Arabidopsis thaliana: one gene and its partner. The protein of the gene in region 2 interacts with the protein of the main gene of each other region in a pairwise test. Each region holds a gene or a part of one and is shown on either strand. Other genes may lie near its edges.

Region 1 (4,115 bases), on a different chromosome or scaffold from region 2:
TAAGGTTTTAACAGAACAAAGAAAGTCAAAACTTGAATGGAAATTTCAGGTATGTACCCCTACAAGCATGTATGCATAAAGTTCCTACCAATGTGGTCGAGAGAGGAAGCAAGTGGCCCGTGAATTGGCCCCGTCGGCTTCAAACACCGCCTTACTGGTTAAACAGCTCTCAAATGGGGATATATGGGAAACCAGCTCCTCGAGATTTCACTACAGATTATGAACACTGGAAACATGTTGTAAGCAAAGTATACATGAATGAAATAGGAATCAGCTGGTCAAATGTGAGGAATGTAATGGACATGCGAGCTGTCTACGGAGGGTGAGCATCAACGAAAACAAATCAAACTAAAATCTCACTTACCAAAACTAAACCTTTTTTTACTAACTACGTAAAAATGCAGGTTTGCAGCAGCTCTGAAGGACCTACAGGTGTGGGTAATGAATGTAGTAAACATAAATTCACCAGATACACTACCGATAATCTACGAGAGAGGCCTATTCGGAATATATCATGACTGGTGTGAATCATTTAGCACATACCCTCGAAGCTATGATCTCTTACATGCAGATCATCTTTTCTCAAAGTTGAGAACAAGGTATAAGCGTAACTCATAATATCCACACCTTTTGGTAACGTTTCATCAACAATAAGTCTCTTGTTTTGTTTTGTTTTGAAAGGTGCAATCTTGTTCCAGTAATGGCAGAAGTGGATAGAATAGTAAGACCAGGAGGTAAACTAATAGTTCGTGACGAATCAAATGTGATAAGAGAAGTTGAGAACATGTTGAAGTCACTGCACTGGGATGTTCACTTAACTTTCTCCAAACACCAAGAAGGAATCTTAAGTGCACAAAAAGGATTCTGGAGACCAGAAACTTCTCAATGAAAGACGCTCTGAGAATCTGCATTTGAAAGTAGCAGAAGCATCATTATAATACAACACACTACTCATATCTATAATCCCCAAAAGAATTTGTCAGTATAAGAAATAGCTTTAGTCTTCTTAAACTATATAGACTAATTAGAACATTTTTGTTTTCCTTACTTCATATTGCTTTTTTTAACATGGTTATGATATTCTCTTGTAAGGCTATGAATCATTTCACTGGGAAAAGTAAGGCACACCAATAAATGAAATTTTGTTCCAACAAGTAGAAACATAGCAGTAATGAAGAAGAGATTATGATGCTTTAGCGATACCACAAGCCAAATTCACCATAAGCTATTGACAGGTAGCGAAAAGTCAAATTACAAAAGGAATAAAGTAGACATGAAATGAAACCAACAATCTTAAGCCCACATATGAATTCAAAAGAGAGGTTAAGAAAGAAGAGAATCTGACATCATGGGCAGAGTAGGAGCTGAAGAAGATGGGTTTCTGCAAATTTGAAGCTTTTAATCGCATATCGCTGAGTAATCATCACAAACAGTTTTGAATTGAAGAAGACGGGAGGAGAAAAGCCATTGTTAATGAGATACCCAAATCGTAAAATTTCAGAAAGCCCAGCCCAACATAGCCCAATACAGCCCAAATATGTATGTGATTGGGTAACGAAAACGAGACCGTTCTTTTTTCAGTCATCTCTCGTTTCACAGTAGCGCGTATGTACGCTTTGAATTTACAAAAAGTAGACATTTTTATGAATTTTTGCCGGTTGAGTAAAAAGGTAAAAAAAAATAGTTCCCACCAAAGCAAAATATTTCAATTTTTATCTTTTTTTTTTGGTTCTTGGGAAAATAAGAGATTGAGAAAGAATAAAGAAGAGAAACTCACAACTTTTTTAGTTTTAGGAGAAGAGGGCTTTGGTCTGGAGTCACTATCATATTCAATGCTTTACCAAACTCACCTCTTCTTCTAAATTCTCACCACTCTTCTTCTTCTTCTCATTCACCGACATATCTCCTCTCTTCACTCTCTGTCTCTTCTCATCTCAGGTAATTCCAATTTTAGTTTTTTTTGAAGGTTACTTACTCGTCACATTGTTTGAAAAAGATTGAATTTTTATCTGTGGCTTAGTCAAATCATGGTTCGTTTCACCAAGTTGTGGTTCTGGGTTTTCGTGATTTTTCTTTTGGGTTTTTCTGTTTGAATTTGGAAAAATAAAGGAACGTTTTTTTTTTCGGGGGGAGTTTTTTTTTTAAAGATAATTTTTGGAGAGTTTTTGATAATTCTGAGGAAGCCAAAAGAAAAGAAGAAAACCTAATTTGTGTTGGTGGGGTTTGATAGGAAATAATGGAGAGTGTTGAATTGACGTTGAAGAACAGTAACATGAAAGACAAAACCCTAACCGGCGGCGCTCAAAATGGCGATGATTTCTCCGTCGACGACTTGCTTGACTTCTCAAAAGAAGAAGAAGACGACGACGTTTTGGTTGAGGATGAGGCTGAATTGAAAGTACAACGAAAAAGAGGAGTCTCTGACGAAAATACCCTTCACCGGAGCAACGATTTCTCCACCGCTGATTTCCACACTAGCGGGCTTTCCGTTCCGGTATGAATTTGTGTTTTCATTTTCGCAAAATTTATAAAAATTATCAGTCATTGCATTGTTAATTTCTTGCTTTTCATGTTTTGATTGTTAGATGGATGATATAGCGGAACTTGAATGGTTATCAAATTTCGTAGATGATTCTTCTTTCACGCCGTATTCTGCTCCGACGAATAAACCGGTTTGGTTAACCGGAAATCGGAGACATCTTGTACAACCGGTTAAAGAGGAGACCTGCTTCAAATCCCAACATCCGGCCGTCAAAACCAGACCCAAACGAGCCAGAACCGGAGTCAGAGTCTGGTCTCATGGTTCGCAGTCGTTAACCGACTCATCTTCAAGCTCTACAACATCTTCGTCGTCCTCTCCTCGTCCTTCAAGCCCTCTATGGCTCGCCAGCGGTCAGTTTCTTGATGAGCCAATGACTAAAACACAAAAGAAGAAGAAAGTTTGGAAAAACGCTGGTCAGACGCAAACGCAAACGCAGACGCAGACGCGGCAGTGTGGTCATTGTGGAGTTCAGAAAACGCCGCAGTGGAGAGCAGGACCATTAGGAGCGAAGACGTTGTGTAATGCGTGTGGTGTGCGTTACAAATCGGGTCGGTTACTACCCGAATATAGACCCGCTTGTAGCCCAACATTTTCGAGTGAGCTTCACTCAAACCACCACAGTAAAGTCATTGAGATGCGTAGGAAGAAAGAGACTTCTGACGGTGCTGAAGAAACCGGTTTGAACCAGCCGGTTCAGACGGTTCAGGTTGTCTCGAGTTTTTGAAGAAATTGTGGAAGGTTTTTAAAGGAGCAGAATTAGGATCCGACCCGGTTCAGATTTATCACCAGTTAGTATGTTAACGGGTTATGTATGTTTTAAATTACAAATTTGATTTTTTGTTTGTTAGTCGTAGTAGGTTTTTAGATTTAGTAACTGGTTAAAACTTTTAAAACTCTTACTATTATATTTGTTTTGTTTCGCATTAATTTTCAGAATTCTTTTTTTCTTAACCTCCTCTAACGTTATATTTACGTTATAATATATAGTTTTTATATTAATTGATAGAGATGGTTCATTTTCTAGTTAGAATGTATGCTCAATAATTATTGGTAGACTGATAGTTATCAAGTGTATAAAATATGAGATCAATTTATACCAAATTAGGAGTAGGCTTTATTTCAGGGTTAGTAACTCCAATTTTTTGTTGTTACTTATTTATATCCATCACATTTTCTCTTGTATTTCTAAAATTGACATAATATAACTGAAAAAAAAAACAAATTTCACAAATAAAAATATATACAATAACTGAAAAAAGAAAAATAAACGTACTGGGCACACTCTCTTATTGACTAATTTATTACTCTGCGTATTTTTGGAGATTGAATACGACCTTAGTTGACGTGATAATATTATCCATTTTTGCAATGTGATAATATTCGTTGACCATATCTTTGAGATTATCACGAATTACCAATTTACCTTGGGACTTTATTCCTCGTATGGTTTTAGTTGAGTTGACTATTAATAATAGCTTTTAGTACGTGTTTCGTAAATGCTGCATAATATGTAACTAACTAAACAATTCGAATATATATATACTAGTTTTAACATTCGTCTCACACGCTTAGC
Region 2 (5,204 bases):
TACATAAGCTTAAATTACGACTAATAGTCATACCAACATGTCAACATGATACTATTTTAACACCTCTTGCCAAGATCAAACACAATTTTATCTAACTAGCTAATATTATGAATAGATTGTGATATCCAATTAATACTATACTATAACTGTGATCTCTTATTCGAAAACCTCTTAATTCATTTTTCCAACTTCTGACTCTCAATCAAGAGTTAAATACATATAATTTTTTTACAATCCACCAACTAACTACAAGAAAGGTTCTCACAACGATCATTAAAATCCTCAATCAGGGTCATCCACTTTGATTCCAACTAAAGCTTCCTAATTGAAAATATGAATCTGAAAATATAAATCATAACTTCCGCACAATAGAATCCAAACAGACAAGCAATTATGTTAAATGACAAGGAAAAGTATTGAACTTGACACGACTCTCTTAGCAGCTCGTAACAAGTACTAAAGAATCAATGTATCCATGCAACATTTTTGACATATCATGATATCACTCATAGATACTTTAACAAAAGCTTTTCTTTCGTTTTTCCATTATCACATCATAAGATTCATCTAGAAATCTAAAACTGACAACAACAAAATAAGAACAAACCTTGGCACTGCTCATTGTTGTAGGTGTGCCTTCTGATCTATGAAACACGACCTTTGGTGAATATAGCCATCAACGTAGGCACCAGCTCGTTGTGCTTCATAACAAACACGACTTTTGGTGAAGATAGCCATCAACGCAGGCATCAGCTCGTTGTACTTCATCACATACCAATCTAAAAATCCTTCATCGACAAAACAGAGGACACTGCAGGTAGCTCACTTCTCTTTCTGAGCAGTCCTTTCCACAAGAGAGCTTTGAGTACGTTACACCTTGGTATAAAAGGTTTTCAGAGTAAAGTATTGAACTTGAAACGACTCTCTTAGCAGCTCAACAAGATTAAAAAAGGTCTCAAGCTTCTTCGGTTTCCACTATGATAGCTATATTCCAGAGTCCTAATGATATCAGATAGCATTTAAGTGTCTCAGTGATATCCAATCAAGTAAAGACCAATATTACCAATATGACAAAAACGAGCAATGTGGAATCATATGATCCAAAAACTTATGACAGAGACGAAGCAAATCACTTGCAAAAGAATCTCACCGTAGCAAGATTTTAAAGTATCATAAGAGAAGTTGGCTCTATTCCCAAAACTATGAATTGTAGTGAAATTAAAGCCTCCCAGTAAGACCAAATACCAAACACTAATAAAGAAACAAAAAAGGCTTACATGACCAATCCAAGAGCTCAGGAGCTGCATTGCATCATTCCAAATTTCAATCCATATCTGCAGTTCAAAAAACCATGATACAGAAATAAGACAATACATGATCCAAACTCAAGACGTATAGAGACAGTCAAGAAACCTTGTGTGCAATGCAGCTCCTGAACAAGGTCAGTAAAAATTCAAGAGTCAAGACGAACAAGGTCAGCAAAAAGTGAGAAGAAAAATTATTTAGAAAACTAAAGTCAGCAAACACATAGTTTGGATTCACATGTCTACTAATTGGCTGCATTGCCGTTTCTAAGCTACCAATCTTGGTAATATATCATAAAAGATTCAACATTACATTAAAAGTTACATTTCCAAGTTGGATAGCTTTTGAAGTCTAAAATCAAGGTTTCAGAAATTCAAAAATAAAAGCAAAATCCTTGACAAGACTTCTGATCTATGAAACGCGATCTCCGGTGAAAATAGCCATCAACTCAGGTACTATCTTCTTGTCATCATGGTTCTTCACATACCTGCATAAGAATTCTTCATTGGTACATACCAAAACAGACGACATTCCAGGGAGTTCACTTCCAAGCGATCCTTTGGACATGAGAGCTTTAATTACATTACACCTTGGGATAGTCCTCTTCTCTAAGCTGTATCCAAGTACCGCAGGGGTTGAAACCACAGCCTTTAGTGGCCAATTCATCTTCTTCACCAGAAACTCAGTCTTTTTCTTCACTGTCTCTGCAGATAAAATAAGGCATTGAGGAAAGCGCTTGGCTATCATTGCAACCTCATCTCTGCTAAATCCTAAGCCTAGAAATGTTTCAATGGAGTTCATTATCTTCTGCTCTGAAGCATTAATGCATTGTGGAAACTTCTTCAACACTGAGAGGACATCGTCTTCGAGTAGTCCACACTTCTTCAGGGTTTCCCAAGTTTGAACTATCTTGTTCTCAGAGAAATTCAGAAAGGAAGGACACTTCTTAAACATTGCCCATACATCTCCAACAGAAAAGCCTAAACTTTTACAGACATTAACTTTTGCTTCTATAGTTTTGTCGCGGAATCTGTAAACAACCCTAAGAGCTTTGACAAACTTTGAGGTGGTTGGATCAAAACCCATCTCAACAACTTTCTTGAGTGATTCTTCAAAATTTTCTTTTCCACAGACAGGTTGGTGATCAGATATAAGCAATGGGAACAACAACCTTTGAGGAACACCCAATTCTCTCAAAACCAAAACATTTCTGATTTTGTTCTCCTGCTTACTACCCTCTGGCAAAGAATGACATAACTTTTCGAACTTGGAACTCTTATCCGCTTCTATAATCTCTTTAACAAAATCATAGTATATGCTGATAGTTTTGTCCCCTCTCTTCCCCAAGATTTCAGGAACTGTAGATACAATATGAGTGAGCTCAGACCTTGAAGCTCCTCTGGACTGCAGAAACTGAAGCTTGGGACCAATTGATTTCTCAGCATCAGCTACTAGCAATTGTGGATAATCCGTAATGATGCTTGAGATCTGAGAATCAGTGAACCCATGACTTCTCAATAGACTCAGAACAGAATCAGGATTGCCTTTGTCCTCGAAGCTGACTTTCTTTGAGATCGATTCTGCGACCTTTTTAGGTAAACCCAATGAATCAACGAGGTAAGAGACAGAAAAACTCAACCCTTTTCGACCAGCTCTAAGGCTCGCATCTGTAGCATTAGCATAGGAGAAGGAATTGGAAAAAGGAGATGCCTTTTCGAGGAGGTTCACTGGAACGCTTAAATGACGACATTTCTTCAACTGGACCAACCTTTTTCCATGGAGTATCAGAGAATACATGACGGGAGGCTCAGAAGCAATCTATCTGATTCTTCAGTTCGTGAAAATGGATCGACCAGGCTACGAAGATTAGTCTCAAAATTCAAAAGTTACAGTGAACCATAGATCGAGTGCCGCCAAAGATCGACGGGTGGTCGACTATCAAAATCTCATGAAATCCAAAATCACACAGACCGACCCTAAATTGGGGAATGAGGAGTAAAAAAAAAGGTATGATTTTTAGGGTTTATGATTCTTCGTTAATGATTTGAAAATATTTTTGAATATAAAATACAAATAACATCAAAAGTAACATATCGGACTCACTGACAGAGTTCAAGGTTTCGGAAAAGAGATTGAAATTGAAAATATAGTTATTTTCCAAGTCGGAACTGCACACAAAAAGAAACATGTCGTCAAATTACAAAAGTAAAAATCGGGCTTTCCGAGATTCATACATAAAAGGTAAGATCCTTGACAAGACTTCTGATTTATGACACAACCTCAGGTGAAGGTAGTCGTTTTGCCATTCTACAAAACACTTGACAAGACTCCTGATCTAACGTGCCATAGGAGCCATTTCGGTGTTTGTGCTCACTTCACTGGAATTTTTTGACCTCACATCTTGACTGATTTCTCTTCTTGAGTTCTCGTACAATAGATACTCATTTAGTTCATGAACAATTTGAGCCATGTTTGGTCTTTCTGCTAAAGAAAGTTTCGAACACAACATCGCTAGTTCAAGAACTTTCCAGGCAGAGCTAGAGTCATATTTCCCCTTAAGGTTTGGATCCATTACACTTTCGATATCACCTATTGAAAGCATATACCTCACCCATTCTGCTATATGAGGCCTTTCACGAGTTTGATCAATCACAAGTTTGTTTGTGATGATTTCTAGTAAGACAATACCGAAACTGTAGACATCACTCTTCTCGGACAACCGCTGTGTTTGGTAATATCTGCAAAAGGATGGTTTGTAGGAGTTTTGTGATAACTAAAGAAGGAAGATAACAAGAATTAGAAGCTGGTGACATAAAGCTATAACAATGCTTACTCAGGATCGAGAAATCCATGAGTTCCGACAACAACTGTCGACACATGAGTTTCACCCCCGATAGGGAAAGATCTCGAAAGTCCAAAATCACCGAGTTTTGCCTGAAAGTCTTCATTCAACAATATATTTGTGCTTTTAACATCTCTATGAATCATCGGTGGTTTGCATCCTGTGTGCAAGTATTCCAATCCTACAAAGTGATATGATTAACAAGTTAAAAAGTTGATGGAAATTCGAAGGGAATATGAACACAACTGTATATAGAGTGATCTTTGAAGATGGATTATGACAAAACACAAACCAAGTGCAGCTTCTGCAGCTATTTTTAGTCTACATGGCCAGTCCAAGAATGAGGAGCCTTCTTTTCCTGTATTAACCAAGATATGTTATTGACATCGAAACAACATAATACTCAAATCATTAAGTTAGGTGGTGTGGATTTATGTTTACCTGAGAGATGCTCTTTTAAGTCTCTATTCTCCATGAACTCATAGATCAGTGCTAAGTGGTTGCTGTCATCACAATATCCAGCAAGGTTTACCAGGTTTACATGATGAACTCTCATTAAAAGTTCAACCTAGGAAGCGATTTTGACCATATGCAAAAACATCTTAGCCCGTTGAAGCATGATTTTAAAAGATATATTTGTGAGGATGATATATTAAACATACAGTACCTCAGCCTTGAACTGCTTGTATCCTTGGGATGATGATTCAGATAGTACTTTAACAGCTACTTGCTGGCCATCGTTCAGATGACCGTGATAGATGATTCCAAACCCTCCTTCACCAATAATTTTCTTGAAATTATTTGTCATTGCCATAACCTCTGAATAAGTAAATCTTCTCTTTACTGTTTCGATTGATGAGTGTGGAGCTGCAAGCAAGAATTCAACAAAATCTATGTAATAACTCGATAGTTTTTTATGGTACTTAATCAAATATCTAGATTGATGAGTTTGCTGCAAATACAATACCCTCTCTACTTGGTGGCTTTCTTCGAAGGCAGATGAAAAGGACACCAAGAACAACCAGGACAATGGCGATGGCAGAAGCTGAGGCAACAA

Evidence for each region.
Region 1: the proteins of AT1G62085 (region 2) and GATA6 interact in a two-hybrid assay, tested with the Arabidopsis thaliana proteins (one large-scale study listed by BioGRID).

What each region holds. Positions count from the first base shown.
Region 1 is NC_003074.8:18,971,403-18,975,517, forward strand, and holds GATA6 (GATA transcription factor 6), read left to right. Parts: upstream 1-1,723; 5' UTR 1,724-1,938; intron 1,939-2,230; 5' UTR 2,231-2,236; coding exon 2,237-2,494; intron 2,495-2,585; coding exon 2,586-3,266; 3' UTR 3,267-3,490; downstream 3,491-4,115. Other genes in the region: AT3G51070 (S-adenosyl-L-methionine-dependent methyltransferases superfamily protein), read left to right, coding at 50-322, 405-599, 682-889. UniProt on the Arabidopsis thaliana protein: Transcriptional activator that specifically binds 5'-GATA-3' or 5'-GAT-3' motifs within gene promoters. May be involved in the regulation of some light-responsive genes.
Region 2 is NC_003070.9:22,947,041-22,952,244, forward strand, and holds AT1G62085 (Mitochondrial transcription termination factor family protein), read right to left. Parts: upstream 3,405-5,204; 5' UTR 3,103-3,404; coding exon 1,717-3,102; 3' UTR 1,278-1,716; intron 1,000-1,277; 3' UTR 803-999; downstream 1-802.